Rattus norvegicus: one gene and its partners. The main gene of each other region encodes a partner of the protein of the gene in region 2 in a complex. Links are inferred from orthologs where the notes say so. Each region holds a gene or a part of one and is shown on either strand. Other genes may lie near its edges.

What was found.
Region 1: the proteins of Bmp2 (region 2) and Hjv are in contact, whole or in part, in a crystal structure (PDB 4UI1), measured with the Homo sapiens proteins. The link is inferred for Rattus norvegicus from reciprocal best matches to the Homo sapiens genes BMP2 and HJV. Residues at the interface, in NP_001191.1 of Homo sapiens: Phe331, Pro332, Ala334, Asp335, Leu337, Asn341, Ile344, Val345, Leu348, Ser351, Val352; in NP_001366281.1 of Homo sapiens: Leu40, Asn43, Tyr46, Val47, Tyr86, Leu101, Ala102, Ser105, Ala106, His108, Gly109, Ile110, Asp112, Leu113.
Region 3: the proteins of Bmp2 (region 2) and Rgmb are in contact, whole or in part, in a crystal structure (PDB 4UI2), measured with the Homo sapiens proteins. The link is inferred for Rattus norvegicus from reciprocal best matches to the Homo sapiens genes BMP2 and RGMB. Residues at the interface, in NP_001191.1 of Homo sapiens: Val308, Gly309, Trp310, Trp313, Met371, Tyr373, Leu374, Asp375, Glu376, Tyr385, Met388; in NP_001353437.1 of Homo sapiens: Lys97, Arg100, Gly101, Leu103, His106, Ser107, Leu110.

The regions. Positions count from the first base shown.
Region 1 is NC_086020.1:186,751,185-186,761,441, reverse strand, and holds Hjv (hemojuvelin precursor), read right to left. Parts: upstream 6,642-10,257; 5' UTR 6,502-6,641; intron 5,748-6,501; exon of another isoform or gene 5,624-5,747; 5' UTR 5,517-5,623; coding exon 5,420-5,516; intron 5,047-5,419; coding exon 4,499-5,046; intron 3,987-4,498; coding exon 3,363-3,986; 3' UTR 2,734-3,362; downstream 1-2,733. UniProt on the Homo sapiens protein: Acts as a bone morphogenetic protein (BMP) coreceptor. Through enhancement of BMP signaling regulates hepcidin (HAMP) expression and regulates iron homeostasis.
Region 2 is NC_086021.1:141,260,525-141,270,781, reverse strand, and holds the start of Bmp2 (bone morphogenetic protein 2 precursor), read right to left. Parts: upstream 5,259-10,257; 5' UTR 5,015-5,258; intron 3,963-5,014; 5' UTR 3,956-3,962; coding exon 3,613-3,955; intron 1-3,612. UniProt on the Homo sapiens protein: Growth factor of the TGF-beta superfamily that plays essential roles in many developmental processes, including cardiogenesis, neurogenesis, and osteogenesis. Induces cartilage and bone formation.
Region 3 is NC_086019.1:65,455,697-65,465,853, forward strand, and holds the start of Rgmb (repulsive guidance molecule B), read right to left. Parts: upstream 9,454-10,157; 5' UTR 9,322-9,453; intron 8,411-9,321; 5' UTR 8,340-8,410; coding exon 8,335-8,339; intron 5,071-8,334; coding exon 4,808-5,070; intron 1-4,807. UniProt on the Homo sapiens protein: Member of the repulsive guidance molecule (RGM) family that contributes to the patterning of the developing nervous system. Acts as a bone morphogenetic protein (BMP) coreceptor that potentiates BMP signaling. Promotes neuronal adhesion.

The DNA of each region.
Region 1 (10,257 bases), on a different chromosome or scaffold from region 2:
GACACACATACACATACAGATACACACACACAGACACACATACACATACAGATACACACACACAGACACACATACACATACAGATACACACACACAGACACACACACACATACAGATACACACACACAGACACACATACACATACAGATACACACACACAGACACACAGACACAGATACACACACACATACACATACACACACACACACGAGACACACACAGACAGACACACATACACATACACAGACACAGATACACACACAGACACAGATACACACACATACACACAGACACACACACATACATACACATATACACACACACACACACAGACACACACACACTTTCCCATTGGAATGGATTCCTAGATGAGCCAAAGGTTGCTTCAGAATGGTCAGAGTTGCTAGAAAGGCGTCAAAGAAGAGCTGAGAACTGCAGGGGAGCAGGCCTGGGTGCCTGCAGGAGAGGCTGAGACACTCCGTGTGGAACCATCCTCCTTGCCGTTTGGTTCGGAGCTGTGCTTATGTAGAACACCCCACATAGCACACCCCTGACCTTAGTCTTTTCCTCTGCACACTGGCTTGCTTTGGGCTTGTTCCCTTTCCCAACACTTGCTCTCTGGCTTCACATGAGAAGAGGAGAGCTTTCAGAGTGCCATCCATCGTCTCAATCCCTCTCCTCTGCAGCTCCATAATCACAATCCCTGTCGCTCTCTCTCCTCAGGGGTATGCCGGCTGGAAAGAGTTACATTCTCAGATCCAAACGTGTCCGTTCAGTCTCTGACTCTGCTGCTTACGAGCTGTATGATGGTGGGAAAGTTGCCCAATTTCCTTGTAGTAGAAATAGAGGTATACGCTAAGGTACAGACAGCACACACAGGCCCAGGTGCATTCCCAACGCACAGAACACCCCCAACGCCACCAACATAAAGATAAGGGGTGTGTGTGGACAGACACACAGACATAAATGATAGGTACAATTAAGAGAAGACGACCCTTCTTAGAAAGTTTATGAATAATTATCATTACTTAGTTTAGTTTGAAGAAGAAAGATTGAAACAGAATTTCATGTAGCCCAGGCTAGCCTATATATATAGCTAAAGATGATCTTGAACTCCTGATCCTTTTGTTTCTACTTTCTGAGTGCTAGGATTACCGTAGTGTGTCACCACACCAAGCTAAAAGAATTATTAGCATAATTGTCATTATTATTATTATTATTATTATTATTATTATTAAATTGCAGTACTGTTGATCAAACTCAGGGTCCCTGTATATGCTGGGCCAATGCTCTGTCACTGAGCTACATGGCTAACTCTTTTTTTTTTCTTTTCTTTTTTTTGGAGCTGGGGACCGAACTCAGGGCCTTGCGCTTGCCCAAGCGCTCTACCACTGAGTTAAATCCCCAACCCCTATGGCTAACTCTTAATGCATGCATACACATATATTATTTTTAAATTTAAAAATATATATAAATATATATTAAAATTTTATGTGTATGTGTGTTCAGTGTTGGAGATTGGTTCTAATGCTGTGATTCAACTGGGAATCTCTGTGTCCAAATGCTAAAGGTTCTTGTCCCCAATTGTTTTTCTGATCGATCAATAAAGATACTAACAGCCGAGGGCTGGACACAGGGCAGGACCCTTAGTTGTTCTGGTGAGGACACAGAGAGGGAGTACCACCATGACTTAGGGAAGACCGATGGTATGCAGGTAGTGGCAGAAGATAAAGCCAACCGACCATGTGAGATTTAGGGTAAGTGCCCACGGGCCAAGTCCCCAACTGGGCCTGGGGTACCAGGGGAAGGTTTAGCCTTTGAGGTAGCCAAAGCATCTTAAAAATAAGCTTGTGTGTGTGTGTGTGTGTGTGTGTGTGTGTGTGTGTCTGTGTGTCTGTGTGTGTGTGTGTTCTGCATGAATTTATGTGCAGTATGTGCCAGAGGAGACCCGAAGCTATGTCAGATTCCCTAGAACTAGAATTGCAGGCCATTGTTAGCGCTGGGAACCGAACCTGAGTACTCTGGAAGAGCAGTCAGTGCTCTTAACTGCTGAGCCATCTCTCCAGCTCCGTGCATTTTCAATGTGTTTAGAACATTACATATTTTAAGCTTTGGTAACACTGTCTGGCAGATTTTAAGCACTAAGTAAGTGTTCGTGATGAGATCTGAACTCCTTAGTCCCACCTCAAGGCGCTGTGTAATTCCTTCGGCCTATCTGTCTCACAACTCCTTGTTACATAGAGAGTCCCTCTGGTTCCCTCACTAACCATGACTGCGGATAACTCCCGATGGTCTTCACTTCCTAGAAAGCCCTGAACTCTTCCCATCCTGCCATCTGCAGTGTCATCTCTGTGTCTTCTATTACTTCTCATTACTCTGGTTCTCAACCCTCATCTTCCCACAGGAATTCAAACGCCATAGAATCCAGTGAAGAATTACACATTCCCCCACCCACCTCCACTCCAGGGCTTGAGGAGTAGACACAGTTGGACCAGCAATGCAAGGCCACCTGGGGCCACATGAGGCTCCACCGAAAATAAAAATCAAATGTAATAATAACACTCATGACTCCTTCCCGTGAACTGGTGTTTTTTCTCTGCAACAGCCTGTAGACTCCAAGAGGGACAAGACAATAACTGATAACTCTCAGGCCTTTCAGTGGAGTGAACACAGAGCCTCTACTCCATGCCACAGATCTGTAAAGCAATTCAACACAGGCAAGAGAGGACAGGATGGGGAATTCGTCACTTTAATAACAGAGTAGGAAGGGTGGAGATGTTGGTGCCAGTCTCCAAAAGCTGACTTCCTCTGCCAGACAATGCCCACTTCATTTCTGAACCAAAAAGCTTGCCTTAATTAGTTTTTTCTCTTTTGATTTTTTTTTTCTTTTTTAGGAGCTGGGGACCGAACCCAGGGCCTTGCGCTTGCTAGGCAAGTGCTCTACCACTGAGCTAAATTCCCAAACCCCTCTTTTGATTTTCTTATAGATAATCATGGTTTCCCCTTTTCTAGTTTCTGCCTTTAAGATATCTCAGCCCTTTAATGTTTTGCTGGCCCTTAGCGCTCTCACAATCTCTAGCCTTGCAGGAGTGATATCAGGTGTACAGAGAGTAGAATTTCACTACAAGTGGGAAATCACTAATGGGGAAATTCATGGGGAGCCCATACCAAGGTCTGGAGTGCAAAACCCTGTCTCAGAATCTTTATTCTAGGGTCATTTCAGCCCTGGACTGCAACCTCGTGTGATTGAGTAAGGTCGTTGTCTCCTGTCCCCACTGTTTCCTTTGGCACATCTTTGTGTTTTCTCACATCAACCTCTCTCCTCAAACCGTTTCCAAACTAGTCACGGGTTGCTGGCCTACTTACTGAATGCAAAACCACAGAACAAAGAGGACCGAAAGAAGCCGGACTAGGCAGGTGGCTGGAGAGAGGGGAGGCCCCGCATCTACTGGGAAAAGGTGCAAGTTCTCCAAATCGGTCAAGAAGACTCGGGCATCGTCCAGAGCTGACTGAGCTGCCACAGTAAAGTTGGGGTCACCGGAGACTGAAACATCAAAGACGCAGGATTGGAAGTAGGCATCTTCAACCGGAAGCCCTTCCTTACACAACCTTCTGGCAGTATCTATGGCTATCGCCCCACGGCGATTGCGCTCTGAGCGAGAGAGTCGCTGGCTCGGAGGGCATCCCCCAACACACAGCTGTAGATCCTGCTCAGCAGAGAAGGCCCGTGCCACATCCTCCGCTACCCTGATGGAGAAGGAGAGCTGTCCAGCTGTCTGACGAACGATTATAGTTGTTCCAATGTAGGCAGCTCGAATCTCCACGTGGCTCCCAAGGTTAGCAGTTTGAATGGACAAACTCGAGCCCCCAGGTCGGTCGCCCCCATTGACAGAACCATCTTCAAAGGCTGCAGGAAGATTGTCTACCTCAGCCTGGTAGACTTTCTGGTCAATGCATTCCTGCATGTTTTTAAATATGATAGTGATCTGAGGACAAGAGAGAAAATTAGTTAATTAGGGCTCAAAGCATCCGCACACCAATCAAGCTGCACAGAGAGTCAGGGATCTGATCCCAGCAGAGATGCAGAGATTCTTCCTGGTCCTCGGTCCTTGATCCTATTGTGTCCTGACCCCTGCTCAACCTCCTAATCTCAATCTGTCTCTGTGTCTGTCTGTCTCTATCTATATATCTCAGCAACTTCCAAAAGAAATGAAGTGCGCGCGCTCTCTCGCTCTCTCTCTCTGCCCCAGCTCTGCCAGTCCCAGTTCTCAGCCTCCTCTTTAGTGTTACCTGCATTTGAATGAAATTCCCATCAAGAGGAATCACATTTACAAGAGCAAACGTTTGATGGAAGGAAGCCATTCAAGATGGAAGGGAATGTTTGGGAAAGACAAGGAACAGGGAGCTGGGTGGCTGAGGACTAGTGGGAAAAAGGAGTGGTATGGCGGATGGAGCTTGAGAAGACTCAAGAAGGTAGGTTGGAAATTGAATCTCTGACCTTCCGGATGGTGGTAGCGTTGGCTCCCGATGCTACCGGGGAGCTGGTGGCTTGGACAAAGAGGAAGTCGTTATCTAGTAGGGGCCAAGCTCCTTGGACGCGGCATGTGTGAAAGTGATTGTGGAAGCTGCGCACATGGGGGTCTCCAAAGGAAGCACAATGCAAGAAACCCGGGGTTCGACCGTGCAGCCTGGAAAACCGGGCTTCATAGTCACAGGGATCTGGGGTCAGGGGCGCTGGGCCGGCCCCGGGCAGGGCAGGACCCCGGGCCGGGGGCGAGGCCGTGGGACCCTGGCGTGAGCAGTTGTGCTGGATCATCAGGTCCTCTATGCCATGCACCGCGGAGTGGAAAGCGAGGTCCCCGCGGCAGGTGCGGGCGGTGCGCCGCGTGCAGAGAGCGTAGGAGCGCAGGGCGCGACACAAGCCACCTGAGGCCGGCCCACCACGGCCGCCTCCATGTGGCGTGTCCGGTGAGCCCCCTCCCCGAAGGCTCAGAGTGGACGAGACGTACTCGGCATTGCAGCGGAGGATCTTGCACTGGGAGTGAGCTGGGGATGGAAGGGAGAGGACAGTGAAGTGAGACTCAGGTTCTATCCAAGTCCAGTACTCGCCTAACTGCCAAAAGGCATCCGCCATCCCACCGTTCCTCCCACTCAGCGTGGGCACTTTCCCAACCCCAACCTTCAGCCTCCTTATTCTCCTATTTCTCGCCTCCTTCCTTCCTCTCCTCTACTAAAAACATGTAAAGCAGTCAGACTTCTTTTCCCTGGGGACGCCATCTGTGTCCTTCCTCAAGTTAAATGGGAAACAAGACAGGCCTCTTTCAGAGTTGGCAGGTGACTGGGACATAGCACCCATCCCTCTGTGCTCACTCCTACCTAACCTCTAGACATGCCCAACCCGCCCCTGGCCCTTCCTTACCCTGTCCACAGAGGAGCAGCAGGAGAGTGAGGGTGCTTAGAGTTGGAGGACTGCCATGGGGGGACCGGAGACTAGGGGACCGGCCTCGATCCCCCATACCTATCCAGCCAGGTCCCCCCAGGCACCGGTTCTTCCCAGATGAGGAGCCTCCTACCTAGTGAATTTCGCCGAGTACTACTTCTGCGATCGGAAGAAGAAATTTGGCTGCGTGTGGGGAAAGAGAAGGGTTGAAGATTAGTCAAGATGGTGGGTAGAGAATCTGAGGAGATGAAGACAAAAAGTAAGCAGACTGGATCTTGGAAAGAAGGAGGCTTCCAGCCGGTGAGCGGTGAGTGTGGCTGGTGAGCCTTTGTGCCCTGCTCCTGTGGCCACCTTAGGATCCCTTGTGCAATATGCCTACGGGGGCGGGGTGGTGGTGGTGGAGGGAAGGTTGAGTGACCTCAGTGGACAGAGTCCACTTTATTGCCCCATCCTGAAATAGCAGATGGGTCAAAAAATGGAAGCTCCCTGGGGAAAGTGGGTCCTAATTAGACCAGTGGGTCCCAGTAATGCTGGGACCTGATCATGCTTAAGACCGCACTTCTTATTCGTCCCTCCCATCCAGAAGCCACCCACCATTTTGTTTTCTTCACTGTGATAGAAGGGCACAAAGGGTAGCATGGTAGGCAGATGCCCGTCTAGGATGGCATCTTCCCAGTGAAAAGGGAGCCAGGCGATCTCTCAGCCTCTCCAGAGGGCTGACGTGATCCCGCTCTCACAGGATGGGGTACAAATCAAGCTTTCAAATTAATATTTGCTTCTGCCTAGTCAACGGTTCGTCTGTTTTTCCAGACCCAACTGAAAAACACAATCCAGATGCTCCTGGTCTTTTGAGGGGAACAGATATTGGGAGGGGTCTGTCTCCCTTTCTCCTGTCAAAACCCTTCTTTGGAATAAGTGTATGAGCAGGCGGTCCAAAAGTGAAGATTGGGGTATCTGGTAAGGAGAGATCTTAGTTTTCAGAACAGATGTCTGTAACTTTATGAAATTCTAGCCTCGACCCAAAAGCTTATCAAAGCAACCGCCATTTCATCTAGACTTACTGTTTCCCGAGGTCAAGCATTACTCTGATACCCGGTTCTCCAGCCATAGTTGCCTATTCTGTTGGTCTGCTCCAGCCAGGGGGTCCTCCATCTCCTTCTCCATGTCTGTCCCCGATCCCCCGGACTGGCTGCAATCTCACCGAGGTCAGAGAGCCAGAGGAGCTTTGGTGTGGGGGGAGGGGGCAGGGAGAGTATATGGTTGGCCCAAGCACTGGACAGCTGAGAGGAGGAGGGAGGTGCCTCCTGAGTTGACAGTTTTAAAAATAGCTAGGTCCAAAATTCCAGGAACGTTGGTGGCAGTAGGGTGTGGGAGCTAAGGCAGCAGGAATGATGAGCAAAATAAAGAGGGAATATGGGAATGCTGGGTACCAAGTGAGGGACTGCCTAAAGAGAGAACGATGGCCAAGTCCCATGTCCAACTGCAGCTTGTATGACCTGCCACTCAGGTCCTTTAGCGTTCTCAGTAATGAGCTCCCGGCCTGTAAGACGGCTGGTGGTGATTTGTGTGACGCCTGTCACTCACCGTTCTCATCCTCTCTTTACTGAGGATGCCACTGAGTTTCCACACATGGTACGTAGAGGTAGCTGGCTTTGAAGATGGATGGCAGGCGTAGTTCAGAGACCCTCCCCCATCTCCGCCAACTATTTCAGAAGCCGAAAGGCCAGCTGTCTGGAGAAGAAACCCGAGAGCAGAATTGTTTCGGAGGAGGGTTTATTCTGTCTGTCCGGATCAGATCTCTGCAGCTGTCTATTCTATCTCCACCTTTTCCATTACGCTAGTGTGTGCAACAATCCCTCCTCCTCGTCAATACAAACACAAAAAACAGAAGCTTCCGGGTTTCGGGGGTGGTGGGGGCAGTGGGAAGCTGAACTGGTTTTGAAGATGACCGATCCACAGAGAAGTGGGGCCAGATAGGTGAATGGGGAAAGAAGAGATTCGGGACTATGCTTTCATAGAAAGACTGTTCAAGACTCTATTATAACCAAGGATTTAGCCATGTCCCGTCTTTTCACCTGGCGGCACTTCTGGGACAAGGGAAAGCAGCATAGGACCGATTACAAAGTGTGTCACCAAAGCTTCCAGCCCTGTCAGCTCGACATCCAGCTCACAGCCTACAGGTCCACATGGTCCTCACACACACACACACACACACACACACACACACACACACACAAACACACACACACACTCTCGTGCACGCACACATGCACACACACAGTCCACAAAAGAGAAGAGTGGGAACATGCAGGGTTTTTTTTTTATATGAATTTAGTTTTTTCTGAACTATACATGACCATATTACAATAATATTCTTTTATATTAAGTTACTTAGAGTATGTCTGTCTCTCTGTGTGTCTGTGTGTACCACTGTGGATGTCAAAAATTTTACAGAGTCCGCTCTCTCCTCCCACCATGTGGGTGCTAGGGACCAAATGTCACAATTGGTAGCTAGTGAGTGCCTCTACCTGCTCAGCCATTTCACCAGCCACATCCCAAGAACTTTTATTCCGTAAAATTCCCCCAGCTAAACTAATCAAGTGACTTTAAGACATACTAAGTTGTCTATAATATACAAAGTGGCATATACTCTGAAACCAAAAATATGTGCGAAAAAAATAATTTCTTGAGGCTGGAGGGATAGTTTAGTGGTTAAAGCACGTGCTGCTCTGACAGAGGATTCCGGTTCCATAACCCACATGGCAGCTCATTTCTAACTGTAACTCCACTCCAGGGGCCCCAATGCCCTCAGCTGACCTCTGATGGCCTCTGCACACATGTGTTGCACATACATACATACACTCAGGCATACACACATGCACATAAAATTTTTAAAAAATAAGTATTTTTAAGGAAGTTGTTGTTTTGAAACAGGGTGTTGTATGTGTAGTCCCAACTGGTCTAGAACTCGTTATGATTGAGACAGTTGTCCTGATGGTGACAGGTGACATGCAGGGGCCACTGTGCCCAACTAGTACACAGTATTTTACAGTCCTCATTATCATTGACAGTGGTGTTGGTATTATCCTGGAACTATTGTGAGTATGTTGTGGGCTTTAAAAAAATTAGCGAAGGCTGGAGGGATAAAGTCACAGTTGAGAGCATGTATTGGTTTTATAAGGGACCTGTCTTAGTCAGGGTTTCTATTCCTGCACAAACATCAGGACCAAGAAGCAAGTTGGGGAGGAAGGGGTTTATTCAGCTTACACTTCCACATTGCTGTTCATCACCAAAGGAAGTCAGGACTGGAACTCAAGCAGGTCAGGAAGCAGGAGCTGATGCAGAGGCCATGGAGGGATGTTTCTTACTGGCTTGCTTCCCCTGGCTTGCTGAGCTTGCTCTCTTGTAGAACCCAAGACCACCAACCCGGGAACTGCACCACCCACAATGGGCTGGGCCATTCCCTTGATCACTAATTGAGAAAATGCCTTACAGCTGGGTCGCATGGAGGCATTTCCTCAACTGAGGCTCCTTTCTCTGTGATAACTCCAGCTTGTGTCAAGTTGACACACAAAACCAGTCAGTACAGGACTTGAGTTTGGTTTCTAGCATCCACATGAGGGGGCTCCAGGGGAGTCAGTGCTCTCTTCTGGTCTCTTTGGGAACCACTCAACCCACACACAGATACACATTCAAAAAAAAAATCTTGTTTTTAAGTTAAGTAATAATGGTGGGTTTTTGGTTTGGTTTGGTTTGGTTTGAAACAAAGTCTCACCATATAGCCTAGGCTGGCCTGAAACTTGCAATCCTCCTGCCTCAACTTCCTGAGTGCTATAATTACAGGTGGCTAATACTGGGTTTTTTGAGAACCATGATCTTTGATGTGGGATAGAAATGCTGACTCATGTTGATGAAGTTAAGTAAAAACTCTGTAATTCTAAACCACTCCAAGGGACCTGGAGCCCCCTTCTGGTCTCCTTGGGCATTGCATGAAGATGCACAGAGACATACATGCAGGTAAAACAAACACCCTTACACATTAAAAAAAATAAATTTAAATGCAAAGATGACTGTGTGTTCATTACATTTTGCCTTTAAGTGTTCCTAATTTATTATGAAAATACCTAAAAGCAGGGAGCACGTGTTAGCGAACACTCCTAGTGTCCAGGTTGTGGAACACGAGTATGATTTCCCACTCCAAGAAACCAGAAAAATAACTTATTCCCATTTGGAGCCAGGAATTATCCAAAATAAACAAGGAAGCTTTAAAATGCTGTATCAGGCTGGGCATTTATTCTCAGCACTTAGGAGGCAGAGAAAGATGGACCTCCATGAGTTTCAGGCTAACCTGGCCTACATAAGGAGTTCCAGGCTAGCCAAGGCTACATAGTGAGTGAGGTCCTGTCTCAAACCAAGCAAGCAAACTAAAAGAAAATAGTTGCCCCTTGCCAAAGACAGGACAAATTAGTTATCAAAATAGAAACTGAATATATTGGATTGACACACCAAACATTTTAAGCCTAAGTTCACAATTATACTTAAAAGTTAAACGTGACTGGCTATTATTGGAGAAAGCACGTCCGTTTTGAGAACCGCTGGCAAATGGAAAAAACCAAATAGTTAACTGTTTTTGATTTGTTTTAAAATTTTCCTTCCTTTTATTTATGTACTTGTGGGTGGAGGGAGTAGGTGTGTGTGTCACAGCATAGGTGTGGAAGTCACAGGACAATTTGCAGGACCTGGTTCTCCTTCCACTGTGTGGGTCCAGGGGATTCAACAAAGGTTGTCAGGCCTAGTGGCACTATGCCCACCCAACC
Region 2 (10,257 bases):
CTCCTGTTATCTTTCTCTCTCTTTCTTTCTTTCTTTCTTTCTTTCTTTCTTTCCTTCTTTTTTACTTTCTTTCTTTCCTTCTTTTTTACTTTCTTTCTTTCTTTCTCTCTTTCTTTCTTTCTTTCTTTCTTTCTTTCCTTCTTTCTTACTTTCTTTCTTTCTTTCTCTTTTTGCCAAATCTGGTGCCATCACCTTTCTATGACGTCTCTTACAAGAAGCACATTGAGGGAACAGTGGTTTTTCTCCATTTTGTGAGTGAAACAGTTGAGAATTCAGAGTGGTTATGTGACTTAGTTCACAGAACTGTTAACTGGCGTGCCCTGCAAGGCCCAAGTTCTAGCCATTGGGAGATATTATCTAATGTAAGAGAGACCTAAAATCCCAAGCAACAGTCCAAATCACTAGGAATTGGCACCCGACACCATGGAAACTGCAGAATGAGTTTTGCCTGGAAGACACCAAACATACTGCTCAGCACCCTTTAGATGCAGACAGAGCTAAAGGAACAGAAAAACTGAAGAGATGCAGCCAAATGGGACACCAGGCCTTGTTTAGATCCTGCTCTCTGTGGCTCTTGCTTGCCCTAGAGTAGGGTGAGTTTCATTTCAAAAGTTATCATTAAGCTTGGGGGATTTTGCAACACTTTTTGGACAGAAAACATTCCTCCATCAAAACAACAACAGGCCTAAGGCTATTCCAGACCAGCAGCTGCATCTCACCGCTGCAACAAGATTCAAGGAGCTTTGGGACAGACTGTGATTTTTTCCGGAATAAGATAAATGGCATGCCAAAGAGGAAGGAAGAAAAGGCTTAAAACACACAGAATTAAGGTTTAATTTTTAAGTCAACAAAGGAAGTGGTGGGAAAGGGAAACAGGGTCTAGTAGTCACCAGCAACCTGACTAGGTCTCTGTTCTCCTCATCACAGGCCCTATAAGGGGACCTTGTAGGTCCAGGAGGGATTCTCTAACGACCAAGAGAAATGTCCCAAGGTACATGTAAAGAGGACAAAAGCAGCTTGGAGAGGAGTCAAGAGGTATTCAAAGCATCCGCTGACAAACAAGAGACACTGAGAACATCAGTGGCAAGGAACACTGCACACTGAGGAACTGTTTTCCCCACAGGGTCTTTGTGAGCACACTAACACAGCCAGAAGTAGATGGGAGCCTTCCTGGGTGTCTGCATTCAAACCCATGCTGGCATGGTGGATGGACCATGCTTTCTTCATCACAAGACAGAGTTGTGCCTTGAAATGTCCTAGCCTGCGGCTATTTTCTCTCCCTCTTTGAAAACTTTAGTCACAGGGCCACATCGTTTGTTAGTTACAAAAAGAAAAAAGAAAGACTATGTTCTCCATAGTCAGAAGAACCAGCATGAGATCCTTCTGTATATGATCTGCCACTAAAGGGGAAGTCTCTATGGGGCCAATGGAGTCAAGCAATTTCCAACTGTTTTCCAATGGCAGCCAGTTCGGGAAGGTCTTCAGTGACCTTGGGGTGGGAATTCAGCAAAGTCTGGACTCTCCTGGATAAAATCTATGGTAAAATGCTCTTAATGTTCAACAGGAGATTTTGTCTGGAAGAATCTACTGAAAGACTACCATGGTATGTCTTGTCTCATGCCATTCTAGCATTTACGAAGAAGCCTACCAAGTAACACATGGCTTATTAAGGTTTTTCAGTGGCACAAGGATGCTTAGAAAAACTAAACTCTAGGCTACTTAACAATGTGAACAGTCTTCCCATATGCCGTGTATACCTGATGATGACTGAAAAGAAATGGTTTCTGAGATTTATGGTAAAAATCACATCTGATTGCACCAAGATATAAAGTCAGTGCAAGTTTATTTTAAGCAGGTCGATAACTTCTATACAGTTTTACACCAGAAAAACCACTTTTAAAAATACAATTTTTCTTGTGAACGGAAGCTCACTAAGTTTTAAAATAAGACACCTAGATAGCGTTTTGCCTGTGTTTTTATCAAGCCACTTCCAAATGAAGACTGAGAATATGTAGATTTTATTGACAAACCTTACATTCAATTGGATTTTTGAGTTTTAGTTGACTTAAATGATGCTTTTAGCTTAGTTAAGATAAAGATAAAATAACTCGTTCATTTTTTTTTACAGGTAAAGAATAATTTTTTTCACATTAGAAAATACTAATAAATAAACAAATACACGAATAAATTGTTTTCCTGCTCTATCTCCAAAGGCAGTGGGAAAAACAGCTGTGCTGGCTAGTGGTTTTGTTTGTTTGTTTTGATCTACAAAACATTTTCCAATAAATATTAACCCAGAAAGATTAGCTTAGCCCTGGGGACGGGGGCTGGGGGTGTACATTCTGGAATCTCCCTCTCTCAGCAAGCAGACCCTAAGGAGCAGAATAAGGTCTCACTATCTTTCAATACTGAACGTTGTCCCCAGAAAACCTTAGACACCAGTTTCTAGTGCCCTTCATAACCATTGGCTGCCTCAAGGAAGATACACCCCTTGCTATGTGACCTGCCGGTGGCTCTTTTTCCTATTATCAACCAGACTTCTCAAAGTTTGAGTCATCCCTTATTGGGGATGGGGGTTGGGCTGCCATTTCAGAGCATAGATTTCTACTTAAAATGTATCCTCTCAAGAAAGGCAAAGCGAAGCTTTAAAAAGGGAACTTCTCTCCTAGCTCCCCATTGTTCTATAAATTGCAGCTCACTGACAGACAACTCTGAATTCTTCTAGAACTTGAAGGAACTGATATCCTATTGAGATTGCATTAAACCAAAAGCACATTTAAAGTGACACACACGGAATTGAACTGAGGCACGATTATTATTATTATTATTATTATTATTATTATTATTATTATTATTATTTTTACTAACTGCTATAAGGACATTGGCACAAGAGACTTCAATAGGCCTCTACAGCATGTCTTACCCACTAAATCTCCTTCCGAAGAAATAAACATTACTCTACCTTGGGAAACCATACTCATATCGTATTTTTTTAAAAATTCCATTACCTTGTCTAGGAAGGTAGCAGGCAGTGGGAGAAAATGCTTTTATCTGAAGGCTTGACCTGTCTCCACTTGGAGACTTAAGAGTTAAGCAGGAGAAAGGAAGGTCATTGGGGAAACAGTATGATGGATTGTGGAATTGATCTCCCACGGGGATTAGATAGGGATTCAAAAATCTTTCAAACGAGGCCCAGATGAACAGCAAATTTGAATGCTTTGGGGCCCTGGATTTGATTTGTTAATACTACCTCTGCCTAGCTTAAAACTCCAGCCTGAACACAAGCCACAGATCTGAGCTTCCACACAGATTTAAGGAGCCCCAACTCCCTGCCTTCTGTGAAATTCTCCCACAATGAGCTGACAAGGGGCTAGCCAGTCTCTCACCCTCTTCCCCATCACTCGATTTCCCTCCAGTTCTAGTGGGGAGGAGTCTGTCTGCTGGCCACCTGCCAGGAAAAGGGTGCGGACTCACCAGTGGGGAATCCCTGGCTCGGGGCCACAGAGGGGACGGTACAGAAGCCGAAGGACCGTCCACTGTGCTAGCGGAGGCCCGGGCTGCCCACTGAGTCTCCGCCCGCTGTCCCCGCCCCGCCACCCGCCGCCCGCTCACCTTCGTGATGGAAGCTGCGCACGGTGTTGGCGCGGCTGGCTGCCCTCTCCAGCCGGTGGTCTGGGGCGGGCGCTCCTGGCTGGCCCGAGTGCCGGCGGTACAGGTCGAGCATATAGGGGGGCACCACGACGTCCTTGCTGGGGGTGGGTCTCTGCTTCAGGCCAAACATGCTGAGCAGCCTCAACTCAAACTCGCTGAGGACGTCGTCCGAAGGCCGGGACAAGGGGCGGCCGGATGCCCCGGCGAACTTCTTGCGGCCCAGCTCCGGAATGAGGCCGGCCGCGCCGCCCAGGAGGACCTGGGGAAGCAGCAACACTAGAAGACAGCGGGTCCCGGCCACCATGGTCGACCTGCGGACAGGGCCGACGTGAGTCACCCACGTTCCCCGCCCAGTCCTCCGCCCGCCCCCGCGGCCCCGGCTCCCACAGGGCTCGCTGGCCTTCTCCAGGATGCCCTCCTGGCATGTCATCCAAGCTACAGCCTGGATGATCAAGAGGATGAAGAACCCCTAAGTCCCAGCCGGACTTCTCACTTGGGGCTTGGTCTTAACTCCCAATTTAAAAAAGAAAAATCAATGACTGTCTGTCACCTTTTCTTGTGACACTAGCTAGTAAAGCCTGTGTCAGGAAGCTGGGAACCCATAGATTGTTCGGACACTGCATCCCTTACAACTATACTGCACAGCGTTCATTTGCACATAAACAGACACAAATGCACAAGTGACTTCCTTAGAGGCGCCGTATAGAACTTCCTGGTAGATTGTAGATTCAGAAAGCGGTAAACTAAAGATTAATACTAATGACGCCACTTGCAAGTCGTGGCCTACGCCCCTAACTTCAAGGTTGACCCACAGGCCACTCTGTCCCCTTCTCCAGACCCCTGTGCAGTCAAGAAATCCATGCACCTTTCTGCAATGACCTAAATAGATAGTGTCTATAAATGCACGTGTAAGCTGTGACACATCCGCACAGTCAGTAAACACACACAAAAAGAACCCCGACTTTTAGTAGCTTCCTAAATGGGACCTAGTTCTTAAGGATAGCGAAGGATCTCTAAGGCTTGGAGTGCTGGTGGGCAATGAACTAGTGAAATCCACCGGCCATACTCTCTAAATGGATTTCTGCAATTTGGGGGCGGAGGAGGGGGTAAAGCCCAAAACAGCCCTGATAATGTATTTAAAACTGGGGAGGAGGAACGGGCTGAAAGGAGGTCGCAGACCAGGTGGGCAAGACAGAGGGATCTGGGGTTCAGAGTGCCTGACCCCTCTAGGGATCCGCTCGCTGCACGTGCACCGGGAGAGGGTATGTTTACGTCCACTCCACCGGTCCTCCGAGGCGCCCAGCGCCGCCGGGCGGGAAGCGGTGTCACCCGCCAGCCCTGGGTCCGGGCCCGTGTCCTCTACCTTTAGGAGACCGCAGTCCGTCTAAGAAGCACTAGGGGGCACGTCCATTGAGAGAGTCTCCACATGGAAAAAGCTCTGTCCGAGGGACCTGGAGCAGCGACTGGGCTTCTGTTGCCTTTCTTCACCTCCTCCTTCTCCGGGTGTTCTCCCCGAAGGGAACCGTGTCTTGGGGTGGGCCCAGCCGGCCAAGGAACAGAGAGGTGACCGGGCTGGAGGCGGCGGCAAGACTGGATCCGCCGGGCGAGGACACCGGCGCGAAGTGGGGAGCCCAAGTCACTCTCCCGACAAGTTCAAGAAGTCTCCAGCCAAGTGCTGACACACAGCCTCAAGCAGGGGGAGGAGTGCGGGGCAGGGACGGGGAGGGAAGGCTGAGGCAAGGCTGCTGCTGTCGTCTTCCTCAGGGACCAGCGCTGGCGGGGCGCGGGGCCGGCTCCGGGACTCGCCGGGCGAGGGTCGGACGTTCTGCGTTAGCTGGGCCGCGACCCATGGCTCGGGGCAGCCATCGTGGGCGACGCCGGGTCCCGGCAAGGGCGCAGCGAAGATCTGGGTGGCGGGCGGGCCGCCACTCCGCATCCCTCAGCCTGACTCTGGCGCACCCCCATCAGCGCTCGCCAGCGGAACCCGCACGGCTGCGGCGTCCCGGCGTCCTGGGGCTCATTCTCGAGACAGTCCAGCCGCGCGTCCCCGGCTGCCAAACCGGGTGACCTCACGCTCCGAGCCCTCGGGCCAAGTGTCTTTTGTGGCAGCCTGGGGTCCGATCACTCTTCCTGCTCGCCTCGGGCGCTCACTCTCGTGTCGGAGTAGCCCAGCGTTGAGGGTAAGACTGTGCTCCGGACTCCCGGCTCTTAGCGTCGGTCCGCGACTCTGGCTTCTCCCGGACAGCTGAGGCCACAGAGCCGGGCGCGCACAGTTCGCAGCTCCAACCGGTGTCGTGCCGGCCCCTCGAAGCCCCGGGTGACCCTCGCGTCGCTCGCCCTGAGGGCGTCCGATGGCCGGTGTGGGCTAGGGAGGCTTCGTCCCGAGCTGCCAATCCCGGGCGGGCTGTGGGAAGCGCAGCGGCGGGCGCAGTGCGAGCCGGGCTCTGCGCGGCAGGGCGAGGACTCCGGCGGCGACGACGGAGGCGCCGTGGCGCGGCGCTCGCGGCTTTTAAAGGAGACGCCGCCTGCCGGCTCCCTCCCGGCCGTGGCCGAACACCTCCCCCTCGGAGGCGCAGCGCGCTGGGGATCCCCGGGCGGGCGGGAGCAGCGCGCAGGGGTGTGGACGGCGCGCCCTGAGGGGCGGCCGCGGCGGGGCGGGGCGGGGCGAGCGCGCGGCCGCTAAGGGGTCGCGTCCCGGCTGAGTGTAAAGCAGACCCCCGGGACCAGGATTCGTGCCCCAGATGCCCGAGTTTAGGGCAAATTCAGGGTAGGCTTGCCTCTGAGTTCCCCCACTGGGCCAATATTCAACTTGAGTTTGAAGTTTTTAGGTAAGATCACATTAAAAAGAAGAACCTAGAAGTTATCAGACATGTTGGCAAAGATGTGAGCAAACGCTTCTCTGTTTTGAATGGTGAGAAGAAAATGTCAAGAAATAGCCAATACACATTCGAGTGTATTATTACATTTTATAAATATTCATACATTTATATGCGCCCATGTGCATATATAGTCAAATAAATGAATCTAATAAAAGATGTATATACATATATGTATTCATTTATGTAAATTATAAAAATGAGGGTACAGGTTCTGTACATAGATATACACATGTAAAGTGGATGTCCCCTCTAGTGTTTGTGTGTGTGTGTGTGTGTGTGTGTGTCTGTCTGTCTGTCCATGTGAGGGGACAATGGGAGTTAATAGAAGTTCTCTTTATAGAAACAATCACTTCCATACTTGGGCTATTTATCTCCCCTCCCCCACCCACCTACACCAGAGGCAGGTAACAAGACATTTCTGGTTTGAGACTTTTGAATTTTCTGTCTGGCCCTCTCCACTAGGTCTCCAGAAGCAAGACTCTGACTGTGGCTAAGCCACTTTTCTTCCTCAGCTGGAATGTCCCCAAAGCTGCTGATCCAGGATTCGTTTTGAACTCTTTCCACTTCTCCCTCATTTCAGGAGCCTTCATACATACTACCACCTTGTTGCCCACATGACCCCCAAAGCTATGGGCAGAACATTTCTGTGGAAGACCAGATTGGTAATACCAGGTTCTGAATCAGATCTTTCAAGTTTGCAAAGCAAAGACAGAGAAAAACCAGAAGGAGGGGCTTTAATAATCTATTATCCGTGTGTATTAGCTTTTCAGTTGGGAAGCTAAAATAACTCTAGGTTCTGCTCACCTAAATCAGATTAGCAACCCACAGAGGGAAATTAGGCCCTGGCTGTTTCTAGAGCTGTAAAGGGCAAATAAGGTACTTTGAAGGAAGGCTGCCTACTAGGAAAATTAAAGGAGAAGGAATAGATTCAGCAATCTGCAATCAGTTACTGTATTCCTTCTTAAGATGTGTTGTAGAAATTGTCACTCTAAATCGTGAGAGACCAAACAAGAAGGCAATAAAACACTCCACTCAGACATGTAAGCCAAAAGTGCTGATCGCTTCTGAAGCCATTTCCTTCCCTATCAAGTTTAATTGAGAAGTTAACAATTGCTTCTGTCATCGGGAAGACTTGTGGAGCAAAGCAAAACCTCCAAACATATATGAGATTTAAATCAGAAAGTTGCCTTTAATGAGGAAGAGAAAGTTGACAGCTGTTGGACCCACCCCAAGAAAAGATGAAAATGAAACCTTTGGGGATGACATCAACAATGCCGTGTAGCTTTGGGCCTTTGGAACTCCAGAAGCGGGAGTTTGGCCATTTATGATATCCTTAGTAATCAAGACTCTGAGATAAAATGGATGCCTCCGGACAGTTACTCCACCTTGGTGGTGCCTGGCGGCTTCTTTTTTGTAGGACATGCAACGGGAGAGGGGAGGTGCAGGCAGTTAAAAGCCTTTCCCAGGAACTTTCCTGAAGTTTGGCCCAATTTCTCTGAAGAGCACAACTGTTGTTTTTTAGAGATGGCTGCCCTCTTGTGGTGGAAATGAGCGTAAACGCATGGGACCCAGAAGTGGATCCAGTTTGAAAGAATTCTCTGTTCTTTGGAATACAAAATAGACGGTCATGGTCAGTCCGTTCTTCATGAAATAGAAATCGTAGAGAAGAAACAAATACAAAGGCGTTGCTTTTTTACTCTCTATGCTTCTTTACTCTCTATCCTTCCACCCACAACTAAGAATGTGTGGTTGGTTACTTAATAGTTCGAGGGGATAGTAGCTGTCTTCTCTGAGGACTTGCTTGATCTTACCAATTAAAAAGTTTTTCTTGGTATCTGTCAGTTCAGAAGTTGAGAGTATCTCTGTTTGTCATTTTTAGTGTATCTGTCAACAAGTGCGTAAAGGGTCTGAGTGGGGCAAGGCAGTATTGGGGCAAGATATGGTGAGAATAACAATTCTAATTTTTGTAGAAGGTCCAGACAAATCGTGTCAAAACACAGTCTATTCGCTAGGGTTCCGCATAAAGGAAGCTGGTGTTATTCTATTCTAGCTAGTTCTTGCCAGTTTTTCAAGAGATACCGGAAATCCTCATTTGTTGTGTGGACATGACCTGGGATGAAATTAAGTACTTAAAGAGTCATACTTTGGCAACTTTTCCTTTAGCAGTTCAGCCCAGATAATGTTTAATTTTATTGCATCCTGCAGCTATTAGCATTCAGCATTGTTCCTACTAGGTGGACCATTATGCAAATTAACATTAAAATAATGATCCCCATGTATTGTAAAGGTCACAGCAGGCATGACATGAGCCATCTACCTTGTAATTGTCATTCCATTGTAACCTGTGGCAACTCCCCTGAGAAACCTCTTAGCCTGTGTATCATTTGCTGCTGATGTGACACCCAACCCTGGCTCTACTAACTCCTGGTTGAGATTCTTTCCTAGGAACCAGAAGTCACAGCCAAGAGTAGCATTTGCTCTTCCTAGGGCTTACCTATGTTGGATTAGCCACAGTAAAAATGATGGGTGGAGTGACATGTATGCCAAACTAGGCCAGGTTGGCCAAGTCACATTGTTCTAGACAGCCATCAAATCTTAATTACCATATAGCAATATACTTGCATATGTGACCAATGATATTAAAATGTTTTGCTATTCTATTATGTTATAAAGAGGAAACATAGAGAAGAGGGGAAAGGGGTAGTTACAATCTCCAAAGATAAAAGAAGTAATGTGTTTAAAAAGGAGTCAGTCTCAGTATTGATGTTTTTTTTACAGGTTAGCTATGGAGTGACAGTTTTCACCCAAAGCTTCTGTATTGAAGTACTCCCCCAGGATAAGTGTTCATAGATGTAGTTTTGGAGATGTGACTGGATCATAATGGCCAGTGGACTTATCCAATGACAAATTTCAAAACGTTTTTACTGGACAGAGACATAAGTGTTAGGGAATGGGGACGGGTTGATGGAGGTAGTCACTGAAGACAGGCTTTCAAAGTTCCTGCCTGTTGCTTCCTGGGGTCCTGCCTGTTGCTGCTTCCTGGTTTTGTCCTGTTATTCCTTCCCAGTTTTCTTCCTGTTGCCCATCCTAGGTTCCTTCCGGCTGCTCTCCTTGCTTCCTGGCCACCATGAAGTAAGAGGCCTTCTCGTCTATGTATCTCACCATCATGCTCTTCCTCACTTCAGGTCCAAAGAAAATGGAACCATGAACCATAGACTGAAATTCCCGAAAACACGAGGCAAAATAAATCATTTCTTCTTTTCAAACTGTTTTAGGTATTTGTTTCAGAACTAAAAGCAAAAGCAACAACAAAACCAGATCTACTAATACCACCCAGCCTATAAATCGTTACTGAGGATCTAGGATCTTCATGACACCATGTTACTTGGATCCAGTGCATAAAGACACATAAGCCCTGTCCATCATTTATTTAGGAGCCAGTGAAAGATGTATGGTATGTTCAGAGGTAAAGAAATATAAAGCATAAGACCTATGACGAGGGCCATTCGGGAGAGCAAAGAGTTGCTGAGCACCAAATGGGAAGCAGTGTGGACTTAGTAAGTCTGTAGCAAAGACAGGATGGCTGTGAACTGTCCACTGAAGGCTCACACTGAGTGCCTGGTCCGCATCTAGTGATGCGATTCCAGGAGATGGTAGTGTGGTAATGTAGGAGCATAAGAGATTGAGCCTCGATGGAGCAAGTAGGTCACTAGGGCAGTGGGCCTTA
Region 3 (10,157 bases), on a different chromosome or scaffold from region 2:
TGGGAAAGAAGGCAGGATCAAGCATGCAACTGTGTCATCAGTTCCTGGGCAGCAGGAGAGAAGATGCTTTTCTCCCTAGGAACTCTCTGTTCTACCTCATATACTCCCACTTTAAGACACCTTCGCAAACAAGCTTGAGCTTTGGTAACTGAACAAGAGTCTAGTCTAGAAATGCCTCCAGGTTAAAATTGCCAATGAAATATTGTTTCTTGTTTGCTATTTTGACAAAGATTGTTCTGCTCCAAAGCAAAGCCAAAGATATGGGCTGTTTTGAGTTTTAAAGTCCTATGAGTAATTTGCTCTGGAAAGCAGCGGGGGGGGGGGGGGGGGATACACTATGCACATAGCTATGATTAAAGCCTACACACACCGAAGAAAGGCTAAAACTCTAAATTATAGTTTGTTTAAAGTATCTTTACCTGGCTTTGTATGGCTACAGGGTAAGAAAATCAAAGGAAAAAAAAATTCAAGTAGTAAGTTGTTTTACTTTTCCTGATGTATTACTAATAAGTTGCATCACCACATCCAGTCACCACGCCTTAGTGTCTATCAAACCTAAGTACTCTGCTAAGAAAGTGATTCACTTGACCAAGATCCGATTTTACTTCTCTTCACATGTCTGTCATACCGCAAGCTTAACACGTCAAGCGAACCGTAGGCAAAAGACAGTTAAAAAAGTATGCAACATCAAAATTGTTTTTCAAAATGGGATCAGAGAACTATCGAGCCAAGAATTTGTATGTGTGTGACTGTGTACGTGTTTGTGTGATCATACACAACTCCTTTCCCTTTTAATTCAATTAATTAACAGTTTAGAGAAAAAGTTAAAATGAAAACCCAAGTATAAAAAGTCCTGTATTAAGAAATTCCAAATTATCTGTCACTTGTCTCTTATATAACAATTCATGAAATGTTTCTGAGCACAAGAGGAAAAGACAAAACAAAAAACTAGGTTAGTCATGTGTACCAATCAATTATACATTGTTTCAAAACTGAGAAAAGGTTTACTGAAGAGAAACACTGGCCCTCTATTTCAAATTGTATAAAATGAACTGTAACATATATTTGTTACTTAAAATTCCTAGTAGGTGTTTAACTGTTTAACTTATGAAAAGCTTAATTTCTTCCCATCTTAGCAGCATCCTCTTCTGAAGAATGTGTCAGCTGTTGTAACAGCCTCATGGTCTTTTCTTGGCATAAAGTGTCTCACCTTTTGTACTGGTGGTGGTGAGGGTTTGACATCACTGGATGATCCACTGGTTTTGGCTAGTTTTGTGGTATGTTTGGTAGGTATATGAGTGTTTTGCTTGCACGTATGTCTGTGCATCACATGCATGCCTGGTGCCCTTGGAGGCCATATAGATGATGGTATTGGATTTCCTGGAACTGGACTTACAGATGGCTGAGCCACTGTGTGGGTGCTGGGAACCACGTTGGGATCCTCTGGAAGAGCAGCCAACCCTCTTAACTGATAAGCCATCTCTGCAGAGCCTGGTTTTGCTTTTGTTTTGAGACAAGGCAGGTCTCCTTGCATTGCAGCCCAGGCTGACCTTGAACTTTCGATCCTTCTGTATCAGCTTCCAGAATGTTGGACTACAGGTGTATGCCACCATGTTTGACAGAAGTGGGTGGGTTACTTTTTAAGTATGTAATTATTACAATATGTGGATACAATATATTTCAGGATATCAGTACTTAAAATGTCACCTGATGAAGGACATCATTTAGTAACCTCTATATTGTTTAGAAAGGTGCCTCAGTGTTTTTAAATTTTAATTAAATGGTAAACTATTTTTGTCTTTGGTTGGAGGGAAGTGTGAGGGTAGCAATCTGTCATTGTGAAATTTCAAAGACCCAGTTGAGCCTTCATTTTCATTTTTTACCAGAATAAAGGAGATTAAAATTGTTTTACTATTTTGGAGTTAATGGATTTATAGCAATCACTAGACCACTTTAAAAACAAAACAAAACAAAACAAAAGAGTCATTGCCATGTGTTTGGTCCATTCAAGGCTTGTTCAGTGCAGTGCTGACAAAGGGAGTTTGATTTACAGGACTCCTTTCTTGAAAACAAATGCATTTACTTTCAACTACTTTTACTGGACAACAAAGCGAGGACCAAAACAGTCAAACCAATTCACTATTCCAAAAGCCTTCAAGTTGTTTATCGAGGGAAAGGAGTATCCAAGGTCTTGCTCTGGACTTGGGATTGTTCGAGACTAACTAGTGTCAGTCACCGATAGCTGAGAAAGCAGTTGGGGGACAATGATACCCCTCCTTTTAAAGTACGATACAGAGCAAGTGCAAAATAAGTAAAAGCAGGGCCAAGATCGCTCCCTAACGAACAGCTCTTGGACCTCAAATAATGACAGCACTAGAACTTTCCGCTAAACTCGTGGGGCCTATTTGTTCTTTTTATGGTCTATAAAATCTATCTGAGCATACAGTTACTTATAATTATTTCGAATAGTCATAAAATATCAAAAGTGAGGACAGCGTGGAGATACAGAATCCCAGAGTTTGGGGGGGGGGGGAGAAGATGCAGCGTTCATTCCCAGTGTTCTATTGTACCCAACCCCCATTCCTAAGCTTTCCCTTTTTCATGGTGGGTAGGTGCTGACTGCTTTGAGAAATCACACACAAAACAACAGCTCTTTTGCTTTGGATGAGGGGCCTACCCTCGGCTGTGGAGAGGATCAGGGTGGAGGGCTAACTGAAGAGAAAATGCTTTGAGGTCAGCATTTTCAGCTCCATCACAGGCTCCGGTATAATGACTAATTTGTAGCATACACCCAGAAATATCCAAGCTTCATGAATTTATAATGACAATGCACACTTTGCCTGTTAGAGGCGGTAATGTAAGCCCCCTGTCAGAATGCCAAGATAATGCAGGGCAGAAACACTCTCCAGGATGTGGCCAAGGAGGCCATGGAGTGTATGAGTAAGCAAGAAGGCCGGTATGTGATATTCACTCCTGAACTGCAAAGGTCTTCTTAAAATAAAATCATAAAATACATGTGAAAAATAAACAGGCCGTTTCCCAAGGGCAGAATCCAAACGATGCACTTACAAAGAAGAATTTTCTATTTTGGTGTCAGCAGGCCATCTACAGTTGGTGTGACTTGTGCTTTCGGCCAGTTACTGGAAGTGCTAAAAGGATTCGTGGTCTAGAGATTTCGATTCATTATTTTTTAATGAACATAGGCAAGACAGCTTCCTTCACACGGGGACTGTGACTACAGCACAATTGCCAGGTTATCGTAAAGGAAATGAGATCTGTTGAGGCTGAATTGAGGGAGCTATGGAGCCATATGGGGCACAGAGGCAAGCGATATGACTCAGACGGAAAACATATGGTGGTCCATCTGCAAGCAGCACTTCCTCGGTTCCCTGGTCTGGAAAAGGACCCCAGCATTTCAATAGAGCCACTCTTCAAAGAGATCTCTGAAAAGCAGCTCGACTTCAACAAGTTGTTCACAGTAATGAGGGCCTTGGGTTCAATCTCAATGTGAGCACAGACTGAGTTACTGAAACCAACCTCGTGTTCCAAAGCCTTTCGTCCAGTTTCTCATGCCTTTGACAGGGCAGCAAGCAACTCCTCAGGAACTACTCTCCAACCCTGTCAGGACCCCACAGCAACCAATATCCAAGCTGCCAAGAGCTCAACCTAGCCTTTCAGCGTCCCTTTCATGAAACGCACCGTTTGACATAAATCATACATTTTTCTCACCCCAACGCTCCTGAATACTGGAACATTAACAAAAAGTTTCCATGAAACCGCATGCAGATATTTTTCTAAGGTTCTATTTAAATTACTAACTTAAAGCCAAATTTAATTATTCCACAACTGGCTATTACATTTTAGCATGACCCCGTCCATTTCCACAAGTGACAGTGTTACAATGCAGCTGTTATAACACCTCGAAGACTTGTCTCTTCGATGTCATTTTATTCCATTACTTAAAAGGCCTCCCAGTTATTTTAGGACGGTTCGTATATCTTATCAAGTAAAAAGTTTTCAGTACAGTTGAGTGTTATTAAACTAGAATTCTCCAGATTAGTGTTGTGTCAGCTGAACAAAGGGGGAAAGGGCTTCCAAGGAAATCTATGTAAAACAATGATCCTTTTAATTTTTGTATTAAAGGGAAATGCACAGTCTAGGCCAAGTATTAAAAAGATATGGCACTTCCTTGTAAAGACAACAAAATTAGGCATCACACGTCACGAGGGTCAGGTTCAGGTATATCCTTAGGGCATATTCCTAGTGCTGCATGGGCAGGGGCTGTGCGAACCTCCACACTGCAGGGCGCATCTGTCAAGCCCGCTAGGAGCCGAAAACCCAAGGCTTTCAAAGCACGTCCTCGATTCGCCAAACTGCGTCCAAAGCAGCACTGGCAAAACCGAAAGAGATCCCGGTTAACTTAAGTTTCTTTGGAATTCATCCCCCAAACTCGGGTGAAAATCTTTACACCGTGTGCGACTCCGGGCCTCGCCGCCACCCCCAGATGTAGAGGAGGAACAGCACAGAGTCTCCGCTCGCAGGCGACCAGGGCGGTGGAAACCCGATCAGCAGCTGGCTCCAGTAAACACCCCTGCAGAGGGCAATAAAGCCCCGGGGTGTCTGTCCCGCACGCGGTTCCAGCCCGCACGCTGGGACCGGACCACCGGCTGTCGCCGGCGAAGGCAAGAGGCGGCAGACAGGAGCGTGAACCTGCGACCGTGAGTGCCCTGCTCGCCCGCCAGGGCCGTGGCGTTCCGCACCCAGAACAAAGCCCGCGCGGCCCGCTCCCCACCCGGCCCGCGCCTACCTGCGTGGAGCAGTCCAAGGCTGAGCAGCAGCAGCAGCAACAGCGGCGGCGGGGGCGACGGCGGCCAGAGTCCGGGGCGGTGGTACTGCTCAGCCCCGGCGGCGGCGGGGGCGGCGGCGCAGGAAGGTGCTGCTCTCACGCCCATGCCCGTCCATGCAGGTCTCGTGCGCTCCTGCGAGGGCGGCGGCGCGGGCGCAGTGGCTGGGCCGGGCCTCGGGCTGCGGCATGGGCCAGGGCGCACGCCTCTCTTCTTCCTCTTCCTCCTTTCAGGCCAGCGTTCGAGACCGGCCGCCACCGCCGCGATGAGCAGGGCGTCGCGAGTGGAGGGAGGCGGCAATAGGGCGCAGAGACATCGAGACGGCCGGACGCGGCAGGCAGAAAGAGGCGGGAGAAAAAGATACAAAGACCGTGAGCGAGCGCCGACAGCAGCCCGGAGCTCAAGGGTGGCTGAGACCCAGCTGGCGAAGGCTGGACGTGCGTGGATCGAGAAAACCTCACCAACCGTAGCAGGCAGCGGCCCGGAGAGCTCCGCACCGCGGCCTGCGCGGTCAATCAATCTCAGCCCCGCACTTTCGCCCCGCCCCTCCGGGCTCTCACCAATCCGCGGAGGCCCCGCCTCCGATCACCCGCCTTCTCCACTCCCCATTGGCTGCGAACGTGCCTCCCGCCCTCGCATCTCACTCAAGTTCCGTGTCCGCCGCCCGCGGGTGGGGCAGCTTCGCCAGGGCCCAGCCTCCCTCCTGCCGGCTTCCTTGTGCTTTTCTCCTCCACCCCTTTCCGCGATCACTGTTTTCTGGTACCCAATAGAAATGGGCGACAGCGACTCTCACTTGGCCCGCGTTCCAGGAGAACCGGCCTTTAACCTTTCCTTGAATTAATGAGCTTCAGGTTCAGCTTCCTCCTAGTTTTTTGTTCGTTGTTTTTAATGACCCTCTCCAACCCCTTGTCCTATTGCTAGCTGCAGCCACTTGCAGGAAGCCAGCGCTTTCCCAAGCTCAGTGTAGCAGGTCCCCCCACCCCCACCCCCCACCCGACTCAGCCAATCGACTGCTGGACCTCATAGCAAACTTGTTGGGGGGTCTCTTGGCAAATCAAGAGTCCAGCCAAGCCTTGTTAGATACTCAGATGACACCGAGGTCCGTAGCAGATGGATGGACTGAGAAGGTACCTGCGAGCTCCCAGCGGAATTCGCTGGCAGCTGCGTGAGGCTCTGGTGTTTTGGTTTCTTTGACATTTTCCCAGCTTCAAAGCGGAGAGCGGGAGTCAGGGATTGGGCGAACTTCAACGTGTTCGGTTACAAGGTAATTAGATTAATGAGAGTGGTGAGTTTTTATGCAGTGCAATTATGCCACGATTTCTTGTTGCTCGGTGGCTTTTCCACAAATTTCCAGTCTATTAAATTAATCCAATGTTAGGTCTGTTTCTACTTGAGTTGTCCTCCAAAACCTAGGGCAATCCCCCTCAAATTATCTCTAAGGAGAAGGGCTAATATATGGAGACAAAAGAAAGCACGTGCGGAGTTGACGATAGGCTCCAATTTGTTATCAGTTAGTGTGAAGTGGTATCTATCTCCTTCGGAGAGTGGCGTCAGTGCTCCTAAGAAGCCACTTTACTTTCCCCCTGCCTCTGCCATTCTCCAAACTGTTGAGGACTGGCATTTAAAATGCACTTAGTGCAATCTAAATTACAGTTTGCAACTTTACCTGCTACATTACTCAGAATCTCTAATTAGGAATCTCCTATCAACCACAGACACATTAATAGTCCACATGTTACAGTGTGCTAATCAATGGACAAGGATAATTGGGGGGCAAGCCTTAGGTCTCACCATCTTACTTATTAGACACATTGTGAATTCCTCAAACCACCAGGTCCCTAATGAAGGAGACCTATCTGTTTTTACTGTAATTTTTCATTACTTATTACAGGCCATGATGATTCAAGTGGTAAACACACCTTTCACTACCCAAGATATAATCCAAGCCTTATGTCTATCTTTAATATGCTTAATAATAGCTTCACAGTTGCCTGGAGAAATGACTTTTGATGGGGGGAGGGCTGGATCTGACAGTTTTACATAATGGTGTATACTAAATGCTATCAGGACTTTTTTTTTTAAAAACCATTTTGCAGTTACTACATATAATCCATGAAATACAGTTCAGAAAATATTTCTTTTAAAGAGTGATCGCATGACACTCTTCTTAGAAGTCCTTTTAGCTTAGAGCTGGAGAGATGGTTGAGTGGCTTGTACAAAAGACCCGAGGTTCACTTCTCAGTGTGCACTGGCAGCTCACAATAGTCTGTAACTCCAGTTCCAGGGGATCTGAATCCCCTTCACCTTCACAGGCACCAAAGGGGCACATGGTGCACAGACATACATGCAGGCAAAATGTTCTTACACATAAAGATTTTAAGTGCTTTTAGATAGCTGGCTCACAGAAAAATGTAGGGTTTTCTTACCTCAATATTTAATTATATTCCGAAAGGAACCTTATGTTATTATCATGTTTCATATAAACAAAAGGTTAAAGATCAATACATTCAATTTAGAATCTTTCTGCTGATGACTTTGCTTTTTTTTTTTTTTTTTTAAATACAAGGGGCTCCAGATATTCTTATCAGTAGAGGGCACCCTCGAGTTGCTTCGAATCCTGGTGTCAAGGAAAAAAAAAACTGTTCAGAGGAAAAAAAATTCATCTCTAAGGTGTTTTATTGCTCCTCTGTTGTAAAATTTGACAAGCTTAAGACATGTATGCCTAACAATTCACTTTTTATTACTGCGTAAGTGTTCAGCTGCTGGAGGAAAATGCTTTTTCTTTTTAACAATTAAAGTACAAGGTGGTTCTTATTTTCCTGACATTGGGTCTGTTGACACAGTCTGGGGTGAATCTGGATGTTAGCAAGATTTGAAGTCAGCTTGGAAATCAAGAGCATGTTGAATGGTTTTTAGAGGGCAGCCACTCTTCCTGTGCAGCATGGTTAAGCAGAATTTGGGACTGGACAAAGAAAAACCCAGGGAGGAAGCTAGAACAAATTTGATGATTATAAGTTTTACATTTTTAATTAGGAAAAAAAAAGTGAGGTGATTGGCAACTTGAGCAACCCAAAAATCCACCTCGTGTCTTGCCATCTGCATTCTTTCTCTCTTCCTCTTTGTTTTCGAAGAGACCAGAACAGTACATCTAAGAGACCCAGCAAAGTATCCTACACCATGGGCATGCGAATGGGTAATTAAAACGGATGCCAGTAACGTTAATGGATTCTAAACATGATGCAATTTCATTTCCCAAATCCTTAACTGTGTCTTAACTGTTCCCCAGGTACTGAATCTCCATACCCAAAAACCTAACAAGAGGGTCTCTGCTTAACAGCTCACCCAGGACAGAGAAGCCAGCAATGAGCGATTTGTGTAACCCATTCCTGAGTAAGGGCTCCCCTGCTGCTCATTGCTCCACAGTGTTTGAAAATAGGGGGCCCGGAATAGCCCAGAGTCCAGCAGCATGTAGCTCCTGGCTTGTACTTACATCATTCTTAACCCTTCTGCACCTGGAGGGGGCTCAGCGGGATCAGGATGCCCCCGAGCTCCGGAACACGCAGGACCTAGGTGTGAGAGAAGAGCCCCAGGGCTCCGTATGAGCGCTGAGTCCCTGGAGAAAGAGAGAGACCACGGAGATCACGCGCTTACATCCCGGGCCCCTTGATCCCTAACAGATTCCAGTAGGGCTCGCTTCTGGCTCTCAGGACTAGAAGCGGCAGGTGCAAAAAGCATTTGGGAGCCGCTTGCCAGTGCTTGGAGGTAATGTGCTTCCTGTCCATTTATCTCAGGAAACCAGCACAGCCTTCCCTTCGAAACAAAATTAACCTCTCATTAGCCAGCCACTCACTCCCAAGAAGGCCTTAAAAGCTTTACCCTCTCACTAATGTATTTAGGCTTTTCTTCCAGGCAAACGAAGCCGAGGCTGTACTAACATCAGCCCCAGGGGTTCCTATGGGCTCCCTCAGGAGCCAGCTGCCAGCCTTTCACCAGTCTACTTTGGGAAATTGGCCAACACAGGATCCCAGTTTGTAGAAGCAGGCCAACCCAACATCCCTGACCGAACTTCACACCAACCCACCCCCTAGCCCCGGAGGATAAGTTTTTCTCTCTTTTCTTGGGTTCCTTTCACATTAAAGCTTCAGCTCCATTACCCCCGAGGAATGGGAAAACTTCACTGGCCAGCTATTCCCAGGTCATGGGCAACGATGGTCCCTTGGGAAGCATCCATGGAAAGCTGGGTGCGGGGTAGCCTTCCTTAGACTCTAGTCGGTTCCAGGCATTGCGAATTAAACATGGCCAGGAGCTTTTGGAACGCCAGGGCTTTCTCACCCTGGACCCCACAGCCCGGAGCCTGGCAGATTTATACCACACAGGTGGACCCAAGACCTAAACAAAACAATCCCCGCCGCTGCCTGCCATTCGCCCCCCACGTCCTCCGGGCCCACCGCAAACTTCAACAAAATAAACAACTCACCACAGGCATTCCCTTGTCTGCAGCGCGACGCTTGCCAGCTGGGAAAATAAGCCGCAAGCCACGCGGCCGGGGCGCTGGAGGGAGGCCACGCCGCGCCCGCCACTCTGCCCCAGGTGGGCGGCAGGCGGGCGGCTCCACCCGGGGGCCGCTCTCCAGATGCCGGTTCCGGAGTGAGCTCCGGGGCAGTGCTCGCACCCTGCCAGCCAGCAGGGCCTCTCTGTCACCTAGGGGGAGAGGGCGGGGAGACAGGTCCCTCTCCCCAACTTCCTCCAAACTGCCTCTTTCCCACTCCTGCCCCCAGCCGCAGCGGCAGACAACCTCCGCCGCGCCGGTCCCCACTCCACCTCACTGCCCTACTGTCCGGCTGGAGACCCGACGGCAGGGAGTGTGGGACGCTTCTACCCCTGCTTCCAGGTCCCGATCTCTCCTCTTCCCGGCTCCTACACCCTTGCTTGCACAAAGGCGCCTTTCACGCCGCCAGCGCCGCCCTCTGCGCCGCCCTTCAGGCCCGCAGCGCTGCCTTTACCCACCCCGCACATCCCGGTCCGGCTGCGGACTCTGCCAGTTGTCACCCGGACCGGCAGTGGCCGACGCGTGCGGTGTTCGCACTCCGCGCCCCCACTAGGGCAACAGACACCCTCCCCTCTATTTCCTCCTCGTTTTCTATAGCTGTTCGTCAGCGCCCTCAAAAGAACGTCCCTCCAACTATCCTCCAGGGTTTCCTACTGTGTGTAACTATGAAGGAGGTGACAGGGGTGGTCCTCTGGACGTGTGCGAGCATAAGGGTGTTATCGTTCCTGTCTATCTGAGGTGCCAAAATGACCTGGCCTCACGTC